3 linked regions of the Sus scrofa genome follow. The protein of the gene in region 3 interacts with the protein of the main gene of each other region in a pairwise test. Links are inferred from orthologs where the notes say so. Each region holds a gene or a part of one and is shown on either strand. Other genes may lie near its edges.

Region 1 (9,631 bases), about 140 Mb from region 3:
TACTCAAATGTAATCTAAGGAGTGTGTCCCTCAGAATTATCCCTTGGGAAAAATGCCCTACGGTCAAATTCTAACAGCCTCTGATTTCGCCTGGTGCCTGGCCAGTTACTGTATTTTGAACAATAAATACTATTAGAGAAAGGCCGCATGACTGGCATTATTAGCCTGCAAGGACCTCAATCTATACAAGTCCTGATGCTGACAGCGATCACAGGGCAGATATGGTTATAAAACAATACTAACATGAAAAGAGATGAAGACGACATTTAATAGGTATTTTTCAGGGTGTTAAAGCCCAATGCGAGTGCTGGATGTCGCTCAGTAGATCTAAAAAGCAACTGCCTAAGTGTCTACACTGCAGCATCAGGGACAAATGAAGATACAGCATGCTACCGTCTTTTTGTGGCTGAAAGAGTGAATTCCAGTGACAGCACAAAGACTCCCAAAGTACTGTAGCCTGAACACCTTGCCAACGTGATAAATAATGACAGTAATGGATTTAGCCTAAGGAAGACAAATGGGAACCTCTAAGTCCATGCTGACAAGAGAAAAAAGGATGGATAGAAAGAATAAAAGAAAGGGAAGAAGGGAGGCAGGGAGGAAGAGGGGGATGATTCTTTACCCGACACTGAAAGTCAACTAAGAAACGGGGAGAGTGGGGCAAAGCCGGGCGATCGTCATTGTGCAGCCAGCACAGTCAAGCTCAGCTCAGTCAGGGCTGCCAAGGATGCTAACGCCACGGCGGGCAACGTCTGACGAAGGAAGGACCCAGGCTGAGGGCGTCTCCCCAGACTGTTCATCAGTTACAAGGGAAACACAGCTACTGCCCAGTGGGAAAAGCAGACGGTGCCTTGACGGAGGGAGGCAACTCCACCAGACCAGGGAGGGCAGAGGGCCAGCCTTCCCTCCAGATGTGGTACCCAGGAAGAACACGGCAGGACTCAGGTAGGCTTTGGCCGGAGATGGAGGACCTGAATCCAATCATGGGGAAACACGAGACAAACCCACAAAGAACAAAATTCTATAAAAGAATCGGCCTTATATTCTTCCAAGACGTCAGGCATCTCAGACAAGAAAAATCTGCGGAACTGTTTTCCATTAAAGGAGGCTGACGCTGCCATAAGATAACCAATTGCTGTATAAGAGCGTGTACTGGAGGAAAACCAATGCTTTGTGAGAGCATCCCTGGGGGAGTTCCCATGGTGGCTCAGAGGAAACGGACCCAACTAGTATCTGTGAGGACGTAGGTTGGATCCTGGCCCTGCTCAGTGGGTTCAAGGATCTAGCGTTGCTGGGAGCTGTGGTGTAGGCTGCAGATGTGGCTCGGATCTGGTGCAGGCAGGGAGCTGTAGCTCTGATTCGACCCCTAGCCTGGAACTTCCACATGCAGCCCTAAAAAAGCCAAAAAAAAAAAAAAGCAAGCATCACTGGGACACCTGACAAAAATAGGAATGTGGAATGTCATTTCTTTTTTTTTTTTTTTTTTCTTTTCTTTGGACCGCACCCAAGGCACACGGAAGTTCCTAGGCCAGGGATCGAATCTGAGCCACTGTCGCAACCTATGCCACAGCTGTGGCAACACCAGATCTCTCACCCACTGCACCACAGAGCAAACTCCTGGAACATCATTTAGATTAAATATCTTATCAATGCTACATTTCCCGGATGCGTAACTGTGGTTACATAAAGGAACAGTTTGAGAAAATACACACTGAAGTCAAGGAGTGTGATGGATCCAACCTGTTCCCACAAGGCTCAGAAAAAAATTACACTGTGTGTGTGTGATATGCACACATTCTTACAAAGAGAGAAAAATTGTCTAACTGTGGGAAAATGGTAAAAAAAAAAAAAAAAAGTGGATCCAGGTCATATGGTTGTTCTTTACACTATCCTTGAAACTTTTCTGTAAATGTGAGATGATTTCAAAATGGTAAGTTACCAACATGTCCATACAAAGAGCCGTATCCCAACGATGTGCTCTAGACGCCTGTGTTAGAGCATCAAAATGCAGCCCTAACGGCATTCAAGACATCGATGCTGGAAGAGCATGAATAAAACGGCATCAGGTAAAGTGAGTGCCCACACGGACTTCACATGCAAGTGACCAATATTAGTAAGTTCATTATTACAGGTGGACCCTGGACTGGATTTTTATAGCCCTAAAAAATTTTATTTTCAAGTCGACTTAAAAAAAACGTTTGGGGTTGATCTTCTCACTGGGCAAAGAAGACAATCACCATCTACTCAAGAATAACACACAACTAAAGTAGCTGCTATGCCTCACAGACCTTCACAAGCTCATATCTGTAAGAATGAGGGACATCAAAGTCTCATCACAACTGATGCTCCAACCTCCAATGCCCTTATGGACCGCTGACACCAGGGACCAATTTCAAGCCCAAGCCCAAATTTTTGAGTAATCCCTAAATAGGAGAGTCCCCGAAACGAAGTGTTTTATTCCATGAGGACGCTTCTGGGGTGAAGATCTTTGACTAATCCCAAAACAGCAGCGCCCGGCCAGCAGGCGCAGGTGGGAGATGACCAGGAGAACTATCTATTAGAGAAAACCAGGGCATTTTCTTTCATCTCTAGCACCTGGCGCATGAGTTAAGTCTGGGAAGTGCCACAGCCCAGCACGCGAATCTAAGCCATCACTGCAAACCCCGGGCTGGCAGCACCTCGCAGTTCGTTCTTTGACGTCCTATGGGCAAGTCAAGGGAGCACCTCCCTGGCTCTTGAAGTGAGCTTTTGTGTCTACTGTGCATAAAATTTAAGTGTGGGGATGACGGGAGTTGAGGCGAGGAAGGCAAGGGCCTAGGTCATGATTGTTTGGGTCTTGATGAAACAAGTCTCAAATAAAAATAAAATCACCAGGGAGCTCTCGTCGAGGCTCAGAGGGTTACGAACCCAACCAGTATCCATGAGGATGCAGGTTCAATCCCTGGCCTCGCTCAGCAAGTTAAGGATACAGCACTGCCATGAGCTGTGGTGTAGGTCACAGAGGCACTCAGACCTCACGTTGCTGTGCCCATGGTGTAGACCAGCAGCTGTAGCTCCGATTCAACCCCTAGCCTGGGAACTTCCATAAGCTGTGGGTGCAGTCCTAAAAAAATAGAGAGACAGAGAGATAGACAGACAGACAAATAAAATCACCAACTGCTAAGTCTACCAAAGGATAGGACAAAACAGTCCAGCATGCCAGCCCTTTCCAAGGCCTCTCTGCCAAGGATGAGGCAGATAAAGCTAAACTGAGGGTACAGAGTGGAGTGACACCAGGGAGAGAGGGAGCACCACAGAGCCTCAGTGATTTCCAGGCTGCAAAATTCCCGGGGACAAGAAAACAGAGCACGCCGCGTGGAGGGAGGCAAGCCCTTGGAATGGCATCTCTCCCGGAGGAAACCGACTTATAACAGGACCCCCCTCTTCCTTCCAAGGATGTCCCCCAGGCCAGGCACGAATGGACACACCCTCCCGCTCCTGGGCAAGGGGCCGCCGGCCGAGCCCGGCACTCACGTTTCTCCTGGACGTAGAGGTACCCTTCCATGGTGTAGGGACTGATGGTCTTGTGCTCGAGGGGATTCTCCTTCATCTTCCTCATCAGCGATTCCACTTCCGACCTGGTGCCTTCAAAGCGGTTTCTTGTCTAGGATGAGAGGCGTTTTCATTCAAATCCAAGCCATGAACCCATGTTCCCCTCTCTAGCGCTTTGGAGCATCAGCCCACAGAATCCCCAGATCTAAACCCAGGCGGGGAACATGCAGCCGTCTAGGCATGTGGCAAATGTCCACTTTTAAGAAGGAGACGCTGGTCTTCAAGTCCCATCCTGGAATGACCCTCAAACTCTGGTGGGCACCATGGAAACCACCTGCAGAACTGGCAGAAAATGCAAGCGGCCAGTCCTCACCCCAGAGATCAATTTAGGGCCTCTCAACCCAGAAAGGTGCTTTTGCACCAAGCATCCCGGGCAACTCCAACTGAGCCGTTACACAGGGGGGCCTGCCCTCCTCCTCTTTCAGGACCCAGATGCCCTTTCTCCACCTGTTTGCTGATGGCTCCCTCCTCAAATGGAGCTTCTTGGCTCAATCGCTCCCGCCCCCGGGCAGCCTAGAAACAGGCAAAGCCAAGGGCCATAAGGGGGGGGGGGGGGACCATCCCAGCGCCAGGAGGCCCATGGCCACAACTGAGGCCTCTCCACAACCAGCTCGCCGCTCAGCTTCTGCCCTCCTCCCTCGCTTCTTGCAAACCCTGCTTCCTGTGCACCCGCTTCGTGTAAACCTCCGCTCGAGGGTTTGCCTTCGGAGGAGCCCGCCCAAGGGGAAGCCACGCTTAGTGGAAGCTCCTCCGGGACTCTGCAGCTTCCTGTTCCCAGAGGCGACACAGAGAACCAGGAGGGGGCAAGGTGGGCCTCCGAAAGCACACGGCCCACCCCCAGGGACGCACCTGGACCCCATGCAGCCTCATGGGGCCCCGTCACCCAGTGAGGAGGGGATGGAGCCCGTGACTGCTGGCCAGAGTCCTGAGCAGGGCTCTGTGCACCCACAGGTCCTGCTGTTTAAAACCGGGCAGAGGAGACAGGGCACAAGGCGCACTGATTTGGGTTTCCTGGCAGCCTCGCCGAGAGGCGAACGGAGCGCATCCTTGAAGCCAGAGGCCAGCGTGTGTGCCCCACGCCCAGGCCCTGGACACGCTCTCTGAGGTGTGTGTGGCCCGGAGCTCGATGTGCAGGAGGGAGGCTGGGCTGGGCAGGGCTGGGCCTCTCACTGCCAAAGGAAATTCTGACTCTGGCGCTACAGCTTTAAACACAATCGGCAGCAGCACTTCCGGGAACATAAATAGCGCTCTGAAATAATGGGGGGGGGATGACGCTCCCCCCGGGACCACCACGCACCCTGGAAAGGCCCGCCCCGCTGCCCGTGGAAACCAAGCAAGACGCAAGACCCACCCCCTACCCCCACCTGCATGTCGGTCTGTTTAAGGGATCTCTGCCGCCAGACTCCTGGGGTGTTTTTTCCTTTCCTTAACCAGGGAAGGCAGGCCTGGCCCCTCAGCCACTCACGTTCTGGATGCTGATCGTCAACTGCGTCTTGAAGTCACTGAAGTCCTTGGCCAGCTCATACCCATGGTGATAGAAGGTGAAGAGGCCTTGCAGGAAAGCCAGTAGCTGCAATGAAGGCAGAAGGACAGGGCTCACATAAGCGGGTTCAAGAGGTTCTACGGAGCTGACCTGAGTTCCCAGCCCTGGTGTGAGTTGAGAATAAAGGAACGATAACAGCTATCGTTTACAAAGCGCTTCTTAAACGCCAGGCACGGGAACGTCACATGCTGTGTCTCACTGCACATTCATGACAACCTATGAAATGAAAACTACGGTTTGCTCCATTGGAATGATAACGAAGTAGATCCAGAGAGGTTAAGTAACTTGCCCCAAAACACACAGTAAGTGGCAGCCAGGATTTAAAGCCACGTCTCCTTGGCAACAACACCCAACAAGCTCTTACCCTGAGAGCCTCGCCCCTTCTAAGAAAATCACTTCCTCAGAAACCGAAGACCAGGGCTCCAACGCGGTCAGTCTCCTTCTGGTGTATTCATAACACCAGGTTCTCATACCAAAGGGCGTAGTTACATTGATAACCCACAAGGGAGGGAGGAAAAAGGAAGCTGGAGCGTCCTGAGCAAGCAGAGTCGAACAGGCAAAGCAGATCAAAGACAATTATCCATGTTGGACGTCAGCTCAAGTGTGTTTCTGCACTTTCCCTAAACTATGCAAAAGCGAACACTCTGGATCCCTTTGTTACAATAACCCCGTGGTCCCAGGTTTCCCGTTAAGGTGCTTTAGCCTCAGGGCCAAAGGTGAGTCCACTCCCTGTTTGGTCTTGTCTTCCGTGAAGAGTGCAAGCATCTGCTCACCCCCATTCTCACAATACACCTTCGGATACTTAAAAACCCTTCCCGTCCCACCCCGGGCCCCTGCCAGCCTTCTCTTCTCCAAGCCAACTAAACGTCCTTGCGGTCTCTCCTCCCCGTGCCCGGGCTGTCCTCCCGGTGCCTGTGTGGAAACCTCACTGGTGCCTCCCCTGCCAGGCCTCCTAAGTGCTACACAGTTTGTCTCGGTCCCAAATCTCCACCTAAAGGAAGGAAGACGATTAAAGCCTGAACAAGGCTTGAAGACCCAGAACCTTCGCTTTCTGACAAGCCCAGTTCTACCACATGTGAGGACTTGGCCCCACGGGCACTTGAACTTCTCAAGGCCAACTCGCATCATCTGCGTGGAGCCCTCTGCGCTGCCTCAAACACGTGTGACCTCAAGACGCAGCTGCTTCGCTTTATGTTGGGGTGTTTCTCTTGCTAGCCCCTCAATGAAGGTGCCTTTACTTTGTGAACATAGGCTCACAAAGTTTCGCCTCTAACCCAGCTCTCCCAAGAAGCAGGGCTAATCACAGCCGTGACAGGTCCGCACACTCGGCTGTGGCAGGAATGGTGAAAGCACCGAGGCACCTGCTCCCCCAGCGGAGCCCAGAGGAGAGAGCGGTCTTCCGACAAAGCCACAGGCCCAGCCCACTTTATCAAAGAGGGTCTGCATTGCGAAGTTGGACCACACCCCGCTTCAAACCAGACGGTCCCCTGACTTCCTGCTGCCACTGGCTCTGGAGTGAGTGTCTGTTCCCTAAGAGCCTCAAAGGCATTGCTGGGTCCTCCGGCTATAAAAGCACCGGGTGGCATCACCGATGCATCCCTAACCTACATCAAGGAACCAAAGCCACAGACAGGCACCAAAGACCAGGCGTGAACTCTCTCCTTCAAAGTCTTTGGACGTCTTCTCTGTAAAGGACACTTTTGAGCACAAGGCCCATATTCTGCCTTCCAAATGGCTCAGCCATGGACAAGAAGTGGCTCTTCTGCCACATCTAGGGGCCGGCAGTCACAAGGACAACCGTCCTTTCTCTCTCTCCCCCCCGTTGTCCCTGGAGGCCGTGCCCTGTCACCTTCCCAAGGCACTGAGTCACCCTCGACGGAAGAATAATGCGGAAGATAAGTCACTCCTCCTATTAACTCCTGGCGTGTCCCTCACTCACAGTCAGCAGGGCCTCCCACTCGGGTAATTCGCTGTCTCACGAAGATGCCACCTGGGCGTGCACCCGAGCGCTCCAGAGGCAGAGCGTGGTGAGTATTTATTTGGGTTTTCACTTCCTTTGGTATCAGGCCCGATTGTCCACTTTCCTACGGGAAGTGATGCCTTCGGGGTTGTCATCTTTGGCCCACCCCCCTTCCTGCTCCCCTCAAAGCATCTTTCCTCTCTGCCCCCACCTCCTGACACTCACCCCCTCCACAGTGTATGAAGCTTTGAATGCGGGAAATCAAAGCCCACAGCTCAGGGGGCGGGGCAAGGCCCAGAGAAGGACCCCGCGACCAAGGACCTGTCTGCCTCAGAGAAACGCCTCTGCTCGTACCCCCGGAGAAGCGCTTGCTGATTCTCACCTGGCTGTCAGGTAAGAGAAGCCAGTACGTCCCCCGGCTTCCTCCCCCGACAGCAGACCAAGGAAACAAGGACAGAGAGGTCTTCCCACCTCGCCTGGCCTTCTTCCTTTCCCATCCTTGTTGTCCTCTGAGCACAACTGGAAGAAAAATCTCTCTCCTATTTCCTAGATGATAACACAGATGTTTAAAATAATCATAAACACAAACATAACTGCTTTCTTCGTGGTGGCTGCATCACTCTGGACTATCTGACAAATTTAGGTTTCCGTGCATAGAACAGAGCTACTGCTATGGGCTGTATTGGGTCCCCTATGCTCCCAAAGATAGGAAGTCATGAGCCCCAGTATTTCGGAATGTGACGTCACGTGGAAACAGGGTCTGTACAGCGGCAATCAAGTTAGCATAAACCCAGTAGGCCCTAACCAAAGCCAATCGGTCCTTAAAATGGGGTGGGGGGCGGGATTGGACAGAGCCACAAACACAGAGAGAGGACAGTCCAGTGAGGATGAGGACTGAAACGGTGCCTCGGTCAAGCGAGGGATGCTGACCACCGCTGACCAGCCACCAGGAGCTAGGAAGACGGAAGGAGAGATTCTTTCTTTACAGGTTTCAGGGGAGGCAAGGGCCCCGCTGACCTTGACCTCAGACTTCCAGCCTCTAGAGCTATGGCCTAATGTATCTCCGTTGTGCTGAGGCACCCAGCTCGTGGTGCTTTGTTACAGCAGCCAGAGCAGCTACCAGAACCCAGCTGTTCACACAGCAAAGAGAAGGCGGCAGCCAGCGTGGGGAGGAAGAGCTGGCCAGGGTCGCCAGGCAGCTCCCTAGACCTTCCTTTGCACCTGTTCCTCCGTGGGGTGTGGGAAAGACAGAGCATCTCTGTGACGGGTTTAGGCCAGGAGTGCTGGCCGGAGCTGCTGGGCAAGACAGCGAGCCTCAGGGGGACATGTCGGCAGAGACGCTGTGGGGACAGTGTCAGGACAGGATGCCACTGACCCAAGAGAAAGAATGACAGCCTGCAGCGGGGCAGAAGCATTGAGAAAGGACAGAAAAGCAGACATCCAGAAGCATTCAGGAGGCAAAACTCAGCTTGTGGAGCCTGACGAATGTGGAGCAAGCTCTCGGCAGCTCTAGGTAACCTTCAGTTAGGAACACTCAGGGAACAGACCGAACGCGGCTTTATCTTCAGGAAGCCACTGTGTCATTAAGTGCAATGCCCATCTCCAGAACATTTACTTTCTCGACAAGAAAATGAAGGTTTCCAGGGCCCCAAACACCCGAAGTCTGATTCCTCTTCCTTGGCACACTAAAATTGTGTTTCTTTTTTCTGCAAGGCAACCACATCCTGGTACCTGAAGTCACTTTCTAAAAAGCAGCTGAACAGAGCCAATGTACTTGGAGGTTCCCTGAACAGCTGGACGGTTCCCTTGACTGCACCCCAACATGTGAAAACCCGCACCAGGCACCCCGCAATTTAGGTCACTTGATTTCTTGCTGGATTCCTTTCCACTTGTAAGAAGCCACATGATGTTTCATAGAGATGAAGGGACAAACCATTACAGCTCTGCCGCTGACGAGATGTGACCTTGGAGAAGAAATAAATGCACTTCCATTTCTTTATCTGAAAACAAAGACAGGACCTACCCCCAGAGATAAGGACAGAACCACCTACTGTGGGTAAAGCGCTTATTAGCTTATTACTAACACAGAACGGGACCGGTTTCGGCTGATACCCTCGACTCTTACTTCTTGTCCTTGTGGGCAATTCAGGTCAGTGGAGCAGAATTGCCAGGAGGGCTCAGGACCGGGCCCCACCCCCACATTTCAAGTCTAGGGTAGAGCCTGAGAATTGGGGTTTCCTTAGAAACTTCGAGAAACACTGAGCTGGCCAGGAGCTGCTTCTTCTCCCCGGTCCACAGCTCCGGCCACTCCCTGCCCATCAACTGGTGTGTCCCGAAACAAGAGCTTCTGCAGGAAAGCGAAGGGATACAGGCCTGCATCCAGCCTCTCAGCCCACTGCCTCAACTTCCCTCAGGCCAAGTGCCCATCACCTTCTCTTCATTCTAACGCGAGAACAGAAATTTCACTAGCTCTCCAGACACCTGCCTTGATGACCTGGAAAACATCTGCCAACCACAATGGGTTTCTGCTTTTCAAA
Region 2 (9,631 bases), on a different chromosome or scaffold from region 3:
TTAACTCAGCTAAAATACAATTGCAAAAAAAATTTTGGGGGGGGTGTAAGATGCAGATACGTAAATGGCACCAATCTCACGGAATTAATTCAATCCAAGACGAAAATCTTGTCACATTTTCTAGCAGATGCAGAAAGTAATCATTTGAAAAGAAGCTTTCCTCCCTCCTCCCACTTTTTTCCCTAATACACTGTCTATGTATTTCTTCACTATTTGTCTGTCTCTCCACCAGATTGTAAGCTTCCTGAGGACAAAGCCGCTGTGTGAATCAGTGCTCTCTGCCCGAAACCTAGAACTTGACATAGGGTGTGGGTACGCAAAAAATAAGGTCTGAATGAATGAATTTAAAACAGGCACACCTGGGAGTTCCTGTCGTTGCTCAGCAGAAACGAATCTGACTAGCATCCATGAGGACACAGGTTTGATTCCTAGCCTCCATCAGTGGGTTAAGGATCCGGCGTTGCCGTGAGCTGTGGTGTGGGTCGAAGACATGGCTCGGATCCTGTGTTGCTGTGGCTGTAGCGTAGGCTGGCAGCTGTAGCTCTAAATGGACCCCTAGCCTGGGAACCTCCATGTGCTGTGGATGCCGCCCCAAAAAGACAAAATAAAATAAAATACAAAAGGCACACCTTTAGGCAATATAAAAACTGGTTTCTACAGCCTCATTTCACACGCCGACCCTACAGGATGTGCTACAAACTTAGCAAGGTCTTTGCTTAACACCTGACTCGTTTCCCTGACTCTGTGGGATGAAGCCAGGGTCCTGGGGTTGCATGGCTGCTTGGTGATACTGGTTCTGGCTGTTGCCACCTGCTGTGTGCGTCCCCAGTCTGGCTTTTCCCGTAGGACAGCCTTGCAGGTTGTTGGTGTGCCTTGGAAGCCGAGGGGTTGCCCGGGGAAGGAGGGGAGGGGAGGCTCATTCCAAGGTCCCTCTGAATTGCTGCGTGTGCTGCTCCAGCTTCCTGGCCTCAGCCTGGAGATGGCCCAGGGCTGCGGGGCTTGGGTACTCCAGCACGGCGTGCTTGGTGGCCAGCGCCAGGTTCCTGAGCAGGCTGCAGAGGTGGCTGCTGCCACAGAGGATCTCGTTGCGAAAGTCCCTCTCCTGGGTCTCCTTGCAGAGCGTGTCCACCAGCTTCTGCCCCACCATGATGATCAGCTTGCTCTGCGTGATGAAGGTCTCGGGGGGCTGCCTGTTGCTGAGGCTGCCGTTCAACACGCCGATGGCTTTCAGCAGCGCCCCAAAGTAGAGCCGGCAGTGTTCCGAGAGGTGGATTCTCTTCTCGGGATTCTGCTGGCTCAAAGGCCGGGGGATCAGGGAGCCTGGATTCTAGAGAAGAGGTTAAAAAAAAAAAACGATAAGAGAGAGATTTGATCGACAGGCTGTGGTTGCCTCCCTTTTCCTGTTTTTGCTCAATTAGCTAGACTTTTTATGAGAAAGAGGACTGTTTTGTTTAGAAGTCTCGCTGTGCCACATTTGCCTAACAAAGGAACATGAATGTCTTCAAACACTGTTATGTATAAATCATTTCATATCTACATAATCATATACGACATTACATATAATCATACATATTATATACATGTAAAATCTCACTCAGTCCTCTCGACAAACCATTAGAAACCCATCCTAAGAAACTCATAGACAATGACTAAATTCATAACTTTAAAAAAAATGCAGGAGTTCCCGTCGTGGCGCAGTGGTTAACGAATCTGACTAGGAACCATGAGGTTGCGGGTTTGATCCCTGGCCTTGCTCAGTGGGTTAAGGATCTGGCGTTGCCGTGAGCTGTGGTGTAGGTCAAAGACACGGCTCAGATCCCACGTTGCTGTGGCTCTGGCTTAGGCCCGTGACTATGGCTCCCATTAGACCCCTAGCCTGGGAATCTCCATATGCCGCGGAAGTGGCCCTAGAAAAGACAAAAAAAAAAAAAAAAAAAATGCAGAAAACTTGATGGCGAGATTTTAAAATTTACTCAAAGAACGGATTTTAAAGCTTTTTTTTTTTTTTTTTTTTTTTTTTTTTGTCTTTTTGCTATTTCTTAGGCTGCTCCCGTGGCATATGGAGGTTCCCAGGCTAGGGGTCTAATTGGAGCTGTAGTCTCTGGCCTACACCAGAGCCACAGCAACGCGGGATCCGAGCCGCATCTGCAACCTACACCACAGCTCACGGCAACGCCAGATTGTTAACCCACTGAGCAAGGGCAGGGACCGAACCCGCAACCTCATGGTTCCTAGTCGGATTCGTTAACCACTGCACCATGACGGGAACTCCCTTAAAGCATTTTTAAAATCCTTCCTGGAGTTCCTGCCATGGTGCAGGGGGTTAAGAATCTGACTTCAGTGGCTCAGGTCACTGTGGAGGCAGGGATTCGATCCTCAGCCTGCGTGGGTTGGGATCCCACGTTGCCACATTCGGGGCTTGGATTCAATCCCCGGCCCAGGAACTTCCAAAAGCCACGGATGCGGCCTTAAAAAAAAAAAAAAAAAAATCCTTCCTAATTCTAGTATTAGAGGTAAACCTGAAAACCCCACATTTTCAGAAGAAATCAAAATAAACCGACCTATCTGCTTTAATATTAAACTATTCATCTTACGCACTAAAAAAGTTTCATTTAGAATTTGCTTTCATGAATTTTATTTTCTGGAATGTGGAACCAAAGCCTGTGCACTAGCGAAAGAGTCTCAGCATCTAACTTAGTGGCAACCATCCCAGGTAACAATCAAAAGCCCTTTTGGGGAGTTCCCTTGCGGCTCAGTGGGTTAAGGATCTGGCATTTTCACTTCTGTAGCTCTGGTCATAGCTGTGGCACAGGTTTGATCCCTAGCCTGGGAACTTCCGCATGCCACTGGTGCAGCCAAAAAAACCCCAAACAACAACAAAAAAACCCAAAGTCCTTTCGTTAGGTTATAGCTAAGGACACTGAGGTGCCTGAAGAGAAAAGCCTGCCTCGGGTCACTCAGTTAGCAAAATGAAGATGTGGAGCTTTTAGCCTAGCCAGCAGGTCTGAAACATTCTTTCTATTAAACTGTGCATGCTGGAGTTCCCGTCGTGGTGAAGTGGAAGTGAATCCAACTAGGAACCACGAGGTTTTGGGTTCGATCCCTCGCCCAGTGGGTTAAGGATTCGGCGTTGCCATGAGCTGTGGTGTGGGTCACAGACGTGGCTCAGATCCCACATTGCTGTGGCTGTGGCGTAGGCTGGCAGCTACAGCTGATTAGACCCCTAGCATGGGAACTTCATATGCTTCCAGAGTGGCCCTAAAAGGAAGAAAAAAACTAAAAGTATTAGAGAGTGAATACTAAAAGTATTAGAGAGTAAAAGTCATTGCTTACCTGTGTTTCTAAGTCTTTCTTTTCATCCACCCTTTGTTCCAAGATGGGTTTTTCTTTCTCTTCTAGGTGAGGCAACTTCTGAAAAATAAAATCCCTTCGAATTACCAACTAGAATGGTCTTTACACAACTGCGTAGCTGGTTACGTCCACTTTATTTATTTATTTATTTATTTATTTATTTATTTATTTATTTATCTATTGTCTTTTTGCCTTTTCTAGGGCCGCTCCCGCGGCATATGGAGGTTCCCAGGCTAGGGGTCGAATCGGAGCTGTAGCCGCCGGCCTACACCAGAGCCACATCAACGAGGGACCTGAGCTGCATCTGCGACCTACACCACAGCTCGTGGCAACGCTGGATCCTTAACCCACTGAGCAAGGGCAGGGACCAAACCCGCAACCTCATGGTTCGTTAACCACTGCGCCACGACGGGAACTCCTGGTTACGTCCACTTTAAGCGCCCTGCATCCTCCTTGTGTTTTTGTTAATAGTTCTGCCTTATTGATGCTTTTTCCCAACAAGGGCAACCTTGACAGCCTGAGCACTGAATTTTGCCTACCAGCATGGCCCAATAAAATGACACACAGTTTAAACGGGAAATGAAAAACATCCAGATGTCCCGCTTCTCCAGAGGGTGTTAAAGCCCTTGTGGATTTCCCGCTATGCCGCAGTGGGATCGGTGGCATCTTGGGAGCACCGGGACACGGGTTCGATCCCCAGCCTGGTACAGTGGGTTGAAGATCCAGCTTAGGTCTCTGATCCCTGGCCTGCGAACTTCCATATGAGGAGGGGCTGGGAAAAAAAAACAAAAACAAAAACAAAAAAACCTTTGCCCTGCTAGGCCTATCAGCAGAAAACTAAGACTTGGAGCTGCAAGTTACCTCCCTGACACAACCCCCAAGTTACCTGCTGTACCTCTTGAGACTTTCAATTCTTTCTTTTTTTCCCCTTTTTTTAAAGATTTATATTTTTATTATAGTTGATTTACAAGGTCCTGTCACTTGCAATTCTTGAACTACGGGTTTCTTTCCACCATGTCTAAACACCGGGAGCCAAGTATTTCTGAGAGTAACTCGTGTCTGGAGACTGCCGGGACGACCCACAATCTGGAAGGGTTTCCACTCCCTCTTCTGTTTCTAAGAAACACACTGACAATGACTAAATTTACAGCTTTCCAAAATGCAAGGAAACTGGATGGTGAGATTAAAATTTCTGCTCAAAGAACAAATTTCAAAAGATTTCCCAAAGCCTTTCTAATCCTAGCATCAGAAGGCAGCCTGAAACCCTCAAATTTCTAGAAGGCATCCTCTACCTTAATATTAAAAAAAAAAAAGTGTCTTACTTCTTAATAAGATGGCATCTAGGATTTTACTTTCATGAATCTTAGCTTCCAGAAACTGGCACCCCTGTCTCTCTAAAGATGGGACCACTCTTGACAGGTTCTCAGCAGGGAACTTACTGGTGACCCCTCCAGATAAAAATGGGCCACCCCCTTAGAGGATCCCAGTCGGAACTTTGCACTCACCTGTCCACAGGCATTCGTCTTATTTTTCTCTATTAGTTCAGGAGGCTGTTCACTTGCCCTTTGTTTCTGAAAAGGAGCCTTCCTCTGGTATGATTCGCCCTCCTTTTGGGGCAGCTGGATGCGTCTCGCAAGCTTAAATTCTGCATTTGGGGTCCACTGCACAGGCTCTTCCTTCTCACAGTTTGGCTTGAAAAGGAGCCTGCCGTTGGCGATGACGATGGAGGCGAACCTCTTGATGTCTTCAGGGACCGTCCGGGCCACCAGGACAAACCTCTCCAGGTCGTCCGGGCTGTTTTGGACTTTGTCAGTTGCAAGGACTTCCAGGGACCAGCCGCAGCTCTCCAGGCGCTCCTTCGTTTCTAGCAGGATTTGGTAGGCGTTGGCGATTGTCTGTAGCTGATCCCTAATCTTGGTCTGAAGGTTACTGTCGGTGAGGTTGCCCGCGGTCCCACGGACTCCGTGGGCGAAATCCAGAAATTCTCTCAAGGACTCCTCTATGCGGTCAGTGGCCCTGCGGATGGCGTCGATGTTGGCCTCCAGAGAGTCTCTGAATCTCCACTTCCTACTGACAAAGTGCATCAGGCTGGACACAGAGCTGGCCACCTTGTGCTGCAGAGCCGTGACCGTCTCTTTGGCCGAGTCCAGGTCCAAGGGGAGCTCTTTGGCTGCCTCTTCCGAGAAGGAGCTGGAGGAGGAGTCGGTGGACGTGGAGGAGCAGGAGGAAAGGACACTGGCTCTGCTGTCAGAACTGGAGACGGAGATGCTGTCGGGTTCGGGAGAGAGCGATGCTGCCCGGCTGCAGAACCACGAGGAACTGTGGTCCACGGAATTCTCTGACGGCCCGCCGGCTTTTCCCAGCTCTTTCCCCGCCTGGGGAACATCTGGCATTGCTCTGGGGACGTCATAAATGTTGGGCGTGGTGTTCTGCTGTTCCACTCGGGGGATCAGAAAGCTCGAAGGGACCTTATAGCTGACACTTTCATCCAAAGGGAACATGCACTTGGGCGGCGGGAAGCTGTAACAAGGAATTTCTGGAAGGCTGAGTTTTTTCTGCATGGGACCATTTTTCTGCGGGTGTGGAGGGTGGGACCTTGCGATGCTGTTGGGAGGGCTGTGGAAACTGGACATGTACCTGGGGAGGCCGCGGTGCCCTAATTCTTCCCCAGAGTTGGCCAGCGATGCCTTTTGAACACCAGCCTTTTCCAGAGACACCGGCGTGTCATAGATCCATTCCGATTTCTGAGGGTTTGGTAGCGTGTTGCAGCCGCCCCTCCTTAAGGCAGTGGCTGATGTCAGAGGAACATTCTGCCCCTGTGAAGAACCACAGAGTCACGCAGTTTAAGAGCAAGGCAAAGAGGGTGTGGGCGACTGGTGTGACCAGTGTGCATTATACTGAGGACCCACTAAGCACTGGGCACTGGGCTTCTTAAAAGTCTGATTATCACTCCCCTGCTCATGCTCCTTCACTCAAGCCCTTCCCTGTCTGCCACCAGCCCCCTTTGGAGCCTCTTTGCCACTGCTTCTGCCACCACTCCTGCCACCAACCTCCTTAAAGGTCCAGCCACCCAGGCTGCTTGCCTTTCCTTGAGCTCAAGAATGTCTTCTTATATCACTACATTTAATTTTGCCCAATCTGTGACTCTTTTTTTTTTTTTTTGGTGGGGGGGGAAAACGCCCATGGCACACGAAGGTTCCCAGGCCAGGGATCAAACCCAAACCACAGCAGTGACCTGAGCCATAGCAGTGACAATGCCGGATCCTTAACCCACCGAGCCACCAGGGAACTCCCTAATTTTGCCCAAACTGGTTCCTCTGCCCCAAATGTCCTCCTAACCCCTTGCTGTCCATGTACCAAACTCCTATGCATTCCTGTGACACTGTTGGGATGCCACCTTGGGCACAGGTATGTTTTTATTGTATACATGTGACAGAATCCGTCAATACACATGGCTTACAGATTTCGAATTAAGGCACCTCCCTGATATACAAATAAAAACCCACTTTAATGCAACACGTCTCCAAGATGTGTTATGATCATAAGAAGCACTTATCTAAAGTCTACTGAGCTCTTGCTCTGTGCCAAGCACTGTACTGGGTCCTTTGCAGGAATTAGGTCAATATCCCCAATAAACCTGGAATAAGAAACTGAGGCATCTGGAAATGATGGAAAAAATATATCCAAACCACACAGCTTGTCCTGTTGCATAACCACTGCAGTTATGGGTTTTGCCTCCAGTGAAGTAAGTTCTGCTCGGAGGGAGCTGCCGTCTTAATGCTGACCAAGTTAATTACATTTCCCAGGGGCGGTTCAGGTTTGCAGAGCACCCGCTCTCAGCATCTGTCATACTTACATTTGCTTGGCTGCTCAGGGGACCGAGGGTGGCCTTTTGGCGGCTGGGGGGTATGTCATAGAGCTGCTGCTTCCCTGGTTCCTGGGGAAAGACCACACAGGAGGACAACTTAGATTTTTCCTTCCTGATGGCTGCACATCACAAACTCTCTCCAGTCCAGCATTGCTTCTGCTCCCCCCACCGCAATGAAAACACAAATCAAGAGTTCCCTTGTGGCCCAGCAGGTTAAGGGTTTGGTGTTGCTACTGTGGCAGCTGGGGTCGCTGCTCTGTCATGGGTTTGATCCCTGGCTGGAGAACTTCCACATGTTGCAGGTGCAGCCAAAAAAAAAAAAAAAACAAAAACAAAAAAAACCCACAAATCACTGAAGACTTTGAGGCTTTCAGTCATGATGTTTGGATGGCGGAATTATGTGCTGCACTGGGTGTATTTCCAACCTGCACCACAGCAGTGACCCAAGCCACTGCAGTGACAACAATGGATCCTTAACCCACTGCTCCACAAGAGAACTCCTGTCTTTTTTTTTTTTTTTCTGCATTTTTGCCTTTTCTAGGGCCACTCCCGCGGCATATGGAGGTTCCCAGGCTAGGGGTCGAATCGGAGCTGTAGCTGCCAGCCTACGCCAGAGCCACAGCAACGCGGGATCCGAGCCACGTCTGTGACCTACATCACAGCTCATGGCAACGCTGGATCCTAAACCCACTGAGCAAGGGCAGGGACCAAACCCGAAACCTCATGGTTCCTAGTCGGATTCGTTAACCACTGCGCCATGACGGGAACTCCTGAAAATATTTATTGAATGCGGGTGAATTACTAGACACTGAGCCGAATGACGTATACATGCCTATTAATGAGCAAAAGACATGACACCTATGATGCCAGTACACATAATAGGCATTTTTTTTTTGGTCTTTTTAGGGCCGCACTCACAGCATATGGAAGTTCCCAGACTAGGGGTCAAATTTGGAGCTGCAGCTACCAGCCTATGACAGAGCCACAGCCACAGCAACGCCAGATCTGAGCTGCATTTGCAACCGACCCCACAGCTCAGGGCAATGCTGGATCCTTAACCCACTGATTGAGGCCAGGGATGGAACCCACATCCTCATGGATTTTTTACCACTGAGCTACGATGGGAACGCATCCACATAATAGGCATTTTGTGTGTGTGCAGCAATGAGGAACTATATGCATTAGGATGTGAAAAATAGGCTACACATTCAAAGCGAGCTGAGAGCACCAAAACAGATTTTACAAAGGAAGAGAAAAAGCAGGAATTTAAAGAGGGGGTTTCTTGGGTGGGAGGTGGGCTGTGCGTCTCCTGCTGTGCCCTCCTCAGTGTGGGAAGGAAGAAACTCTTTTCACTGCCTTTGGGCAGAGTGGACAGTGCCCACCAGGACCTTCTGTGACTGAAGTTGTGCCACCTGAGCTTGGGGTCAGAGTGCACCAGGTCTAACCCTGCTGAGACAAGTGACAGGTGAGCTCCTCCATCCTTGTGGCAGGAGCCCAGGCGCCACACACGAGCCGAGAGGCAGGACCTTTCGCTCAAAGGTAGTAGGAAGGTTGGGCACTGCCTGGATGAGACCTGCAAACTCCTCCACTGAGACTTCCGACCCGCAAGTGACCAGGAAGTCACAGAGGCAGCCTGAATTTTCACCGAGACTAGAGCCATGGATCTTGGCCCTGACTGCGTTCAAGATCCACCTGGGACCTTTAATTCCTGCTGCCCAGGGCCCACCCAGCCCTCAGACATCAGTGTCTCCGGGGGTGGTTCCAGGAAGCAGGCCTGGTTAAAGCACCCAGGCCACTCCAATGCGCAGAGCTGGACAGGGCAGCCTGCAGCCACAGGGCAGTTTTGATGGGCTGAGAAATGAGGCAGGGTTTTTTTCTGATTACATGAAGCATTATCTTACAAAATCAAAGTACCAGTGATATTCAAATAAGTTAAAAAAAAAACCCCTAAAATTTCCTCCCCCAGAGATAATCAATGTTAAGACAACCAATGACAACGTTAAGACTGTGATATATATCATTCATATTATTACTTTTAAAAAGTGCAGATACATATATTTGTATATATGCGTATAGGTAGATACATAAGCTATAAAGTATCTACTATAGGGCGCGCCCCTTGTGGCTCAGTGGTAATGAACCTGACTAATATCCATGAGGACCCGGGTTCAATCCCTGGCCTTGATCATTCAGTTAAGGATCTGGCATGGCTGTGGCTGTGGCTGTGGTGTAGGCTGGCAGCTACAGCTCCGATTCAACCCCTAGCCTGGGAACTTCCGTATGCTGTAGGTGCAGCCCTAAAAAGCAAAAAAATAAATACATAAAAAAGTATCTATTACAAGTGAAGTAAAGTTAATTTTTTTTTTTTTTAGGCAAAAAACAGATTTATTAGGATGGAACACTTGTAAGAGA
Region 3 (10,371 bases):
AAGTCCCCCAGCGGCGGGCTGATCATGTCGGAGGACAGCAGGTCCCGCAGCTTCTCCTTCTTGCCCTTGCGGCTGCCGCGCTTCAGATAGATGGGCACCTTGGTGGACATTGCGACCTCGGCACCCAGGCCTGGCTGCCAAGGCTGGAACCGTCCGTTATCACCACCCTCACCCAGAAACCCCGAGGGAGGGGTCCAGACCCCGCAACACCCGCCAAGGGGCCAAGACTAGCGTGTGGGGTGTAACCAAAGGTGACCCCAGGAATTCAGAAAAGATCAACGATCGATGAAGTCCAAGGTAAAGACAGCAAAAATCCCTGCCTCCCAAAAGGGTTGAAAACTCTTCTGAAAACTGGGAGCAGGAAGGTACAGAGCTTGGAGGCCGTGATGCTCTCGGGGTTCAGGGCCGAGGAGCTGAAACACCAAGGGTACAAGTCAGGGACAGGATGACAAAAGGCAGAGGTCCCTTTATCAGCCCCAGGAACCCACGTGGGGCTGCACTCCTGTGGGAAGCCCCTCCGGCAGGAGCCTCACAGACTTACTGCGCGCAAGGCCTGGATCACCAGCGTCAAGCCCTCCCTCTGCAGGTGGAGAACCTGGGTGACAGGGCTGAAGTCACACACAAGGCCCTGGCCCTGGTCTCTCGCCCTGAGTCCCCAGCTCCGCTCATCACGGTCGCATGGGTGCTCATCCCTCTTGCACTCAACTGAGCCCAGGGCATGACTGGTGCCAAATTGTCTGGGGGGTCTCAAAGCTGGTGGAGGATGGCGATCTTGCAACCTGTCTTGCCCGCCCAGGCCTGGCACGGAGCCAGACTCGCAGCAGGTGTTCAGCCGACTGCACCTGAGGACAGACACCTCCTGTTTGGCCCAATCACATCCTACGCGGAAGTGAGGTCACCTGCTCAGGGTTTCTGCTTTTCTTCTCCTCTGGCTTAGGGGTGCCTTATGGACAAGGGCTGAGTTTATTGTCATTTCTGCCCCTCCCCCCTGCCCTAGCACCTAAGGGTTACAAATATTGAGGGGGTGGGGGCTCTGTGTGCCTGAATTTTGCTGAGTTCTTTGCCAACACGTCTAATTTCATCATTACAGCCACCCTCTTGTCATTCCCATTCTAAAACTAGAGCTATCAGACATTTTGGAGGGATTCCCACAAGGCATTGCAGAAGGAGAGAAGCAAAATGCAAAAATGTAGTCTAGAAGATTCCATTTGTTGAAAGCATTGACCAGCTCCCCTCCCTGCACATGCATATATGTGTATCTACATGTAGGGATGTATAGGATCATATCTTATACAGGAACTGAGAAGAAGACAGAAGGCCAGCATGAAGTTGTCATACATGCCTCCTAGACTGCGGAGGGGGGCAGGGATGGGGTGTGGGGTCAGTGACATGGGAGGAAAGTTGTCCTCAATAAATAATATCTCTGGAGGTCCCGATCTGGCGCAGCGGAAAAGAATCCAACTAGGAACCATGAGATTGCGGGTTCAAACCCTGGCCTCACTCAGTGGGTTAAAGATCCGGCGTTGCCATGAGCTGTGGTGTAGGTCGCAGACGTGGCTCAGATCTGGCGTTGCCGTGGCTGTGGCGTAGGCTGGTAGCTGTAGCTCCTGTTCGATCCCTAGCCTGGGAACCTCCATATGCCACAGGTGTGGGCCTAAAAAAAATATATATATATACATATATATATGTGTGTATATATCTTTAATATCTGGTCCCATTACTAAAAAAAATGATATATGTAAGTTAAATATGAAAGGACAGTTGCCAAAACATTGATGGTGTTTCCTTCAAGGTGGTAGAATTCCAGGCGACTTTCCCTTTTTGTGCATACTTTTGTAAGCTGAAATTCTTTTTTAATTTTTTTTTGGCCACAGAGTGCAGCGGCTTCATGCGGGATCTCAGTTCCCAGACCTGAGATCAAACCTGGGCCATAGTGGTGAAAGCATCTCATCCTAACCACTAGACCACCAGAGAACTCCCTGTAAACTCCAAGTCTTAATAAGAAGCAGGTATTATTATTATTATTGTCATTATTATTTCTTGGCTGCATCCGTGACAGAGTGGGCCAGGGTTCGAATTCCAGCTGCGCTTGTGACCTATGCCATAGCTATGGCAGTGCCAGATCTGCTGTACAGTGGGAAATCCAGAAGCATGCATTATTTATGAGCGCATGTTATTCACGGAATCAGAAAAAAATAAAGATATTTTTAATGTGGAAAAAATAAATACACTCTGGAGGGGTGTCATATGGGTTTAACAGAAAAAGGAAGTGAGGCAAGCACTCCCTCTGGTTCCCATGGTGGGGGATTGGCCCCATAGTAGAATCAGAGCACAAAAGGCAAAGAAACTTGTCCAAGGTCACCCAGCAGGTGTCCAGGTGAGCCCACCTACCCCAGGGGGCTGGGGCTGAGCAGGTGGGAAGTGGCTGGGGAAAGGTGGAGCAGGAGAGGGGAGGCCTCTGCTAGTTCCTCTGCCCCATCCTTCATTCTGAGCAGTGAGAGGGGTGGGCAGGAGGGAGCAGGAAGGAGGATGCAGGAGAGGCAGAGTCCCAGCTGCTCTCCCTCTCCCACCCCAGCCCAGACCCTCACTCAGGAAACCCCACCCCAGGACCAGACATCCCGGGTCAGTCATGCTGAACCACAGAGACCAGACATCTTGCCCCTCCCAGAGCACCTGCAGCTTAACAGGAAACAAAAGAATGAGTCTCCGGTGGCAGAATTCCAGCTAAGTTTGGAAGGAGCTGGGGAAGGTGGGGGGAGGCCAGGAGTGCTCTGAGGTCTTGGAATCCCATCATTCATTTATCTAACAGATAATTATCTGTGTCCCCCACGCCAGGTCTAGGGGCCTATCTGGCCCCTTGGCAGGCGAGGAGTCCTGGGCTAGCTTTTCTTTCCTTTCTACTCCCGGAGAGGGCGGCTGAGTGGTGGGATTTGCCCAGAACTTGGGCCAGGCCTTCCCCCCCTCCATCCTACAAGGGCGCCAAGACAGCCTGAGTGTTTCCACAACAGATCTGGCGTCCCTGACAGCTCCCTCGCTCTGAGCCAGATGTACCCACCCAATTCCAGATGTGGAGAGCACTGAGGCTGGGGGGAAGGGTTGGGCCCCTGTCAACCACCAGGGGAGAGCTGGGAATTGCAATCATCAAGCCCCAAGGATTCAATTCGGATTTAGCAACCACCAGACCCCAGGCTGCAGCTCCCCTAGTATGGTTTCCATCATAACGCTCCCAGACACAGCATAGTGGGTGCAATTATTGGCCTCTGCAGAGGCAGAAGCTGAATCTCAGAGACATTAAGTAACTTTATTAATGTCATCCAGCTAGTAAGAGGAAGAGTGGGCATTGATACCTAGCTAGGTCCCAATGGCTCTGATACAGTGAGCCATGCCAACATCTGCAAGCTGCACGGGGAGCAGGAGAGAAAAAGGCTCCCAGCTGGGCCGGGGCCGCTGGATCCCTGGCCACCACCATTTAACTCCTACCTCTTGGCCGCCCCCTCTCTCAACTTGCTAGCATGCAGAGAAATGGGAATGAGGTCTCTGTCAGGACAAGGCTTAGTGAGAGGGGTGTTGGGACAGGTGGCTCCCTGCAGCTTTGGGAGGAGCAGAAGGGAGCCATCCCAGCTTTGTGGGCTTGTTCTGGAAGGATCCCTGGGCCTCCTTTAGAGAAAATGACTTCCTGAAGGTAGAGCCTCTCCTTTCACAAAGAATGTTAGGCCACTCCCCACCAGGGATGCCAATAAAGCCAACCTCTGACCTTCAAATCAGGAGACTGACCTTGAATCTATCTCTACCTAGGACTCGCTCTAACCTTGGGCAAGACCCTTCCTCTCCGGGCCTCACCTTCCTCATCTATGAAATGGGATGACAATAAAGCCAACACCAGGGACCCTACTGTCATACTGCAAGTGAGAGAGAGCCCCGATGGGCGACAGACAGGGTTAGCGGGTCACTGTCAGCCCCGTTATTTATCCAGCAAATAGCTGTAGGGCTTCCTCAAGTATTTTGGTTCTCTGGGGACAGCGCTCCAAACAAGACCGAAAATGAACAGCCCCTGGGCGGAAGGGTCGGTCGGCGCTGAGTCTCCCCTGCTGGCCACGAGGTCTCCCAGCGTCCCTAGGCGGAGCGGTTCTCGGGTCCGTGGCCACTAGGTGGCGCGCGCGCGCGCTCCCTCTACTGCCCCGCGTCCGGGAGGAGACCCTTTGCGCACCGGGGTCCCCAGCGCTTCTAGCGCTCCCGGCAAGCTCCCTCCCAAGGAGCTGCACATTCGCTAACCAGGTGCGGATAGTCCGCGGGATCTTCTTCTCTTGGGAGCGCCCTAGTCTCACAACCAGACAATAGGGGAGAAAAGGAGCGATCAGGGACGCTGCCCGGGTATCCAAACTCAGGGAGGAGCCTCCCCCGTGCTTTCCAGCTTGGGCGATGTCCGAGTGTCCGCTCGGCGCGGGGCCAGAGCTCGGACATGCGGCCCACGCCCCTGGCTTCCGCGGGTCGGGCTCCTCAGCCCCAGCTCGGGTTCCGGAGCCGACCCCTCCCCGCCCTCTTTCTCCCGCGCAGCCCAGCTCAGCCCGGATTCGTTTCAGGACACTCGCGGCTAAGGCTAAAGATAGGAGGACACCTCACCATTGGCTAAAAATACGACCCCAAGCTGGGCTGCGGGAGGGCATTCCCGGGTCCTGGGGGTGGGGCGGGGGCTCTGGCGCAGCGTGGAGGGCGGATCCAGGAGTTCGTGTTCGGGATGCGCAGCGCCCCGCAGGCCGAGGGGGGCGCGGGCGTGGCTGCCAGGACCGAGGCTCGGGTGAGAAACACCTTGGAGCCCGAGGCACTGGGGTAAGGACCTTGTGGAGGTAAGTCGGGGGCTGGGGCGCGAGCTGCGATAGGGCGCCTCAGGATGGGCCTCTCGAGTGACCCTCCAGGAGCGCGGTCGGACTACACAGTCCCCACCTGAACTCACCTGGAGGCGCGCAGGCGGCGGACGGGTGGGCGGCAAAATCTCCGGAGCTGGACCGTGCGGCGATGGGACCGACTAGGGCTGTGAACTTACAGTGCGCACCGTGGCCCCTGAAGCCCCGCCCCCTATCCGTGGAGCCAATGCGGGGGCCGCAGCAATCAGGTCCCGCCCACAGCCCCGCCCCACTCCGGGGCGAGCCTGGGCTCCCACTTGGGAGGCGCGGCGCTGGGGTCCAACAGCCACGCCCGCCCGGGCGTCCGGTCCAAACTCTGACGGCTGCGAGCCAGACTGCGTCCGATGCCCGGACTGGATTCCTCGAACTCCGGCTGTGCGGGTCGGAGCTAAAACTATCGGTTCTGGGAGGGCAGCAGCTGGAAGACTGAATTCTGCAGAATTCACAGAGCGTCCTTGGACGAGTTCCCTCCCTGGAGGGCTGGGTCGGGGAGGCGCCCGCACAGTGTCTTCAGTGACTCCTAAAGAAATAAATGAGGCCTCGAAGGCACTCACGTTAAAATATTACAAACTTCCAAGAGCTTTCAGGAGTTTTGCCCCTCCCTGGAAAAGGGGGCATTGCGGGTGGACCTGCAGAGTGGCCTGGCCACACCCATATTTGTCAACCGGCTAGATGGCTTCCGGGGCGGGGGTGGGACCCACACTTGGACTCATTACAACGTTGGTTGATTGGCTGGAAGGTTGGTTGGTTCATTTATTCATTCATTCGTTACTAGAAACATTTACTGGAAGGCAGGCCCTACCCAGGCAGGCTGAAGGGAACTCAGCCCTTGCCCGGTTCAGCGATTGAGCAGATACTTTGGGGGCATCCATTAAGTGTCAGACACTGTTCTTGTCGCTGGGGATTCAGCCCCTCTGGTCTGGGACCTACTGTCCAATGAAGGGAGATGGAGGAAGCCCCGGTCCCCAAGTACACAGTGATACTCTGCCAGGTGAGCAAGTGCTAGGAAGAGCGGGTGACAGCTGTGACAGTACACTGCGACCAGGATGGTACATCCTGTACGTGTGGGAGGGGCTCTTAGGGAGAGAGGGTCAGGAAGGCATCCTGAAGGAGGAAGGATGCTGGGGGTGGGGGTGGGGGTCAGCCAAGTTGGGGGGGAGGAAAAGATCAGGAGAAAGGGAGTCAGGTAGGCAGAGTGATAGCCCCCCCCCAGAGATGTCCCGGTCCTAGTCTCTGGGACCTGTAAATACAGAGTTTTGTTACATAGAAAATAATAACTGAGGTTGCCCATGCAATTACAGTTACAAATCAACTGACTTTACTTTCTTTATTTACTTTTTTCGGCCATACTCTAGGCATATGGAAGTTCCCTGCCAGGGGTCAAATTGGAGCTGCCATAGTCAATGCCAGATCCTTAAACCACTGTGCCCCAGTGGGAACTCCTCAACTGGCTCTAAACTAGAGAGTTTTTTTTTTCCCCCTTTTCTAGGGCCGATTCCCACGGCACATGGAGGTTCCCAGGCTAGGAGTTGAATCAGAGCTGTAGCCACCAGCCTACGCCAGAGCCACAGCAATGTAGGACCCGAGCCGCATCTGTGACCTACACCACAGCACATGGCAACACCAGATCCCTAACCCACTGAGCAAGGCCAGGGATTGAACCCGCAACCTCATGGTTCCTAGTCGGATTCGTTAACCACTGTGCCATGGCAGGAACTCCTAAACTAGAGAGATTATCCTGAACTGTCTGAACGGGCCCAGTGTAATAACAATGGTCCTTAAAGGTAGAAGAGGGAGGCAGGAGAGTCAAAAAAAGAGATGTCCTGGAGTTCCCGTTGTGGCGCAGTGGTTAACGAATCCGACTAGGAACCATGAGGTTGCGGGTTTGGTCCCTGCCCTTGCTCAGTGCGTTAATGATCCGGCGTTGCCGTGAGCTGTGGTGTAGGTTGCAGACGCGGCTCGGATCCCTCGTTGCTGTGGCTCTGGCGTAGGCTGGTGGCTACAGCTCCGATTCAACCCCTAGCCTGGGAACCTCCATATGCCGCGGGAGCGGCCCAAGAAATAGCAACAACAACAACAACAATGACAAAAGACCAAAAAAAAAAAAAAAAAAAAAAGAAAAAAGAGATGTCCTGTCTTTGAAGGTGGAGGAAGGGGCCACAAACAAAGGAATGCGGGCAGCCTCTAGAAGCTGGAAAAGACCAGGAAACAGACTCTGCCCTAGAGCCTCCAGAAGGAACACAGCCCTGCTGACTTCTTGATTTTAGATTCAGGTTGGACTCCCAACCCACAGAGCTGTAAGTTAATACATTTGTATTGTTTTAAGCTGCCAAGTTTGTGGTGATTTTCTACAGCAGCAGCAGAAAACGAATACAGAGAAGTTTCAGATTTTTTTTTTTTTCCTTTTCTAGGGCCGCTCCCACGGCATGTGGAGGCTCCCAGGCTAGGGGTGTAATTGGAGCTGTAGCCACCGGCCTCGGCCAGAGCCACAGCAACATGGGATCTGAGCCGCGTCTGTGACCTACCCTACAGCTCACAGCAACACCGGATCCTGAACCCACTGAGCAAGGCCAGGGATCGAACCCACAACCTCATCATTTCTAGACAGATCCGTGAACCACTGAGCCATGACAGGAACTCCGGAAAGTTTCAGATTTTAACCTTGAACCTTCCTGGCCCCTCCTTCAACTCAGTCACGTGTATTCTTTTTTTGGTTTTGAGGGTATCTTCTGCAGCATCTGGAAGTTCCCAGGCTAGGGGTTGAATTGGAGCTGCAACTGCCGGCCACAGCCACAGCCACGCCAAATCCAAGCCGCCTCTGCAACCTGCACCCTAGCTCTCTGCAATTCCGGATCCTTAACCCACTGAGTGAGGCCAGGGATAGATCCCGAGTCCTCATGGATAGTAGTTGGGTTCTTTTTGTTTGTTTGTTTTGCTTTTTAGGGCCACACCCATGGCACATGGAGGTCCCCAGGCTAGGGGTCGAATCAGAGCTACAGCTGCCAGCCTACCCCACAGCCACAGCAACGCAGGATCTGAGCCATGTCTGTGACCTACGCCACAGCTCATGGCAGCGCCGGATCCTTAATCCACTGAGTGAGGCCAGGAATCAGACTCGCAACCTCATGGTTCCTAGTGGGATTCATTTCTGCTGCGCCGCAATGGGAACTCCTAGCTGGGTTCTTAACCCGCTGAGCCACAACGGGAACTCCAAGTCAGGTGGGTTCTGCCAGGACTACCCTAGAGGTTCAGAGGAAACCTGAGGCCTGGACAGCAAAGAAAGGGGCCCTGGGCCAAGTTGTGGGCTGAGTGGGTAAGGGTTGTGTCTCTTCCCTTTTCTGCCACCCAGGCTCTGCCATGCACCCCCCTGCCCAGGCCTACCTGTGCCCCTTACCAAGGGTCTCTTGTCCTGAGCTCCTCAAATCCTTTGAGAGCCAGTGAGATGGGCAGAGTCAGTGTCACTACCCCCCTTTTCAGAAATGGACACCAAAGCTCAGGCCACTGATGGTGATCCGCTCAGCCTGGAAGTGGCAAGATGGGCTGGCTCTGGGCCCTCCTCCCTGCTCAGGCTTCTCACTCCACCATTGTCCCTGCCCCCTCCTCTCACAACACAGCCAGGTTGCGGGGACAGCACAGTGCCAAGCCCCAAGCCCCAGGTTATGAGTTGGCTTTGCTGCTAACTTAGTCTGTGGCCACAGGCAAAAAAAGGACTGTCCCTTTCTGAGCCTCCTTGCCTGTAACAAGGGAATGACATGCGTCCCCAACAAGCTAAGGGACTTGAACTTGTTTTGTTGACTGGAACACACTGTCCCTGCAGGCAGCAGTTTCATGGAAATATTATTCAAGGAGTGACTGGGGGACGGCAGCTGGCCTTGCCACCTGACCTGGAATGAGTCTGAGGATGAAAAAGGGACTTTTTTTTTTGGTCTTTTTTTGCCTTTTCTAGGGCCACTCCCACGGCATATGGAGGTTCCCAGGCTAGGGGTCAAATCGGAGCTGCAGCCACCTGCCTACGCCAGAGCCACAGCAAAGCGGGATCCAACCCTACACCCTACACAGCTCACGGCAACGCCGGATCGTTAACCCACTGAGGAAGGGCAGGGATGGAACCCGAAATCTCATGGTTCCTAGTCGGATTCGTTAACCACTGAGCCACGACGGGAACTCCGAAAAGAGGACTTTTATAAAGACTCCCCTGAACCCGTGGGAACAAGGCTGAGGTGCAGCCCCCACCTCTGCCCATCCACCCAGTGTCCTCTGTTGGGGGAGGAAACTCGGGGAAAATCAGGAGCTCCATTTGGGGCTGATTACAAACCAGTGACAGAGATGAAAGCTTGGAGAGGCAAAGACACTCATCCAAGGCCACTCAAAGCCAGGAACCAGGGAGTTCCTGTTGTGGCTCAGTGGCAACGAAACCAGCCAGTATCCATGAGGACACAGGTTCGATCCCTGGCCCGATCAAGTGTCCGGCGTTGCTCTGAGCTGTGGCGCAGGTCTCTGACACGACTTGGATCCTGTGTTGCTGTGGCCGAGGTGTAGGCCAGCAGCTGCAGCTCCAATTTGACCAACTGCAGAGTTGGGGTGGGGGTGGCGGGGTGGGAGGGGGAGGTAGATTGAGCATTGGGGGATGGGCAACAGATTCGGCTCCCAAGCCTGACCCAACCTCTGGACCCCTCCCTCGGTGACTAGGAATCTGTCCAGCCTGGCTGTCAGACCAGGGCCCTCAAACAGGGCCCAGAGCCATAGGAACCACCATCTATGCCATGGGGACCTTTTAAAGCCCACCTGGATGTGACATGGCTCCGTCCAGTGCTGGTTTCTCCTGCTGCGTGTGTACTCCTGCCCTCACCCAGAGCTCTGGCCCTACCATGCCCACATGCAAAGCCTGATTTCTGCTTGGCGGTGAGTTCTGCGCTCTGTAAGCTCTCAGGTAGGCGGGTCATTCTCCCCATTCACAGATGCCACTGTGTCACTTGGCCGGGCCTGAGCGATCCCTAGGGAGCCTGCTGCTGGCTGCTCTTAGCTTTGTTGAATGGATGGGATCTTTGCGGACACACCCACGGTTGTCATGGAAGCCTTGCAAGTAATGAGCATTTATAAAACAGAATTTCATTTATTAATACTGGCTCCTCCCCCCCGCACTTGGAAGCTCCCAGGCCTGGGATGGAATCCGAGTCACAGCTGCAACCTATGCCATAGGTGTGGCACATCAGATCCTTAACCCACTGCACTGGGCCTGGGATGAAAACTGCACTGCCGCAGAGACAATGCCGGATCCTTAACCCACTGTGCCACAGCGGGAACTCCTAAAATTGGCTCTTTAACGCTACTTCTCAGGCCGTGTGTAAAGGCCTAAGCGTGGATGGGAGACTGGGATTCTGAGCCACGGGAGAGCCTGCATTTCTGACCCAATAGATGCTCAGGCCAAGTGCCCCACCCAGCCTGACCCCACTTCCAGGGTCCAATGCTT

Evidence for each region.
Region 1: the proteins of CDC42EP2 (region 3) and ARHGAP26 interact in binary tests that used the Homo sapiens proteins (3 or more experiments, as listed by UniProt). The two-hybrid records come from large-scale screens. The link is inferred for Sus scrofa from reciprocal best matches to the Homo sapiens genes CDC42EP2 and ARHGAP26.
Region 2: the proteins of CDC42EP2 (region 3) and CASS4 interact in binary tests that used the Homo sapiens proteins (3 or more experiments, as listed by UniProt). The link is inferred for Sus scrofa from reciprocal best matches to the Homo sapiens genes CDC42EP2 and CASS4.

The regions. Positions count from the first base shown.
Region 1 is NC_010444.4:144,469,117-144,478,747, reverse strand, and holds part of ARHGAP26 (rho GTPase-activating protein 26), read right to left. Parts: intron 5,162-9,631; coding exon 5,057-5,161; intron 3,644-5,056; coding exon 3,514-3,643; intron 1-3,513. UniProt on the Homo sapiens protein: GTPase-activating protein for RHOA and CDC42. Facilitates mitochondrial quality control by promoting Parkin-mediated recruitment of autophagosomes to damaged mitochondria.
Region 2 is NC_010459.5:57,021,838-57,031,468, reverse strand, and holds part of CASS4 (cas scaffolding protein family member 4), read right to left. Parts: intron 7,289-9,631; coding exon 7,208-7,288; intron 6,168-7,207; coding exon 4,857-6,167; intron 3,412-4,856; coding exon 3,334-3,411; intron 1,328-3,333; coding exon 917-1,327; 3' UTR 1-916. UniProt on the Homo sapiens protein: Docking protein that plays a role in tyrosine kinase-based signaling related to cell adhesion and cell spreading. Regulates PTK2/FAK1 activity, focal adhesion integrity, and cell spreading.
Region 3 is NC_010444.4:6,898,520-6,908,890, forward strand, and holds the start of CDC42EP2 (cdc42 effector protein 2), read right to left. Parts: upstream 5,522-10,371; 5' UTR 4,952-5,521; intron 4,316-4,951; exon of another isoform or gene 4,273-4,315; intron 414-4,272; 5' UTR 111-413; coding exon 1-110. UniProt on the Homo sapiens protein: Probably involved in the organization of the actin cytoskeleton. May act downstream of CDC42 to induce actin filament assembly leading to cell shape changes. Induces pseudopodia formation in fibroblasts in a CDC42-dependent manner.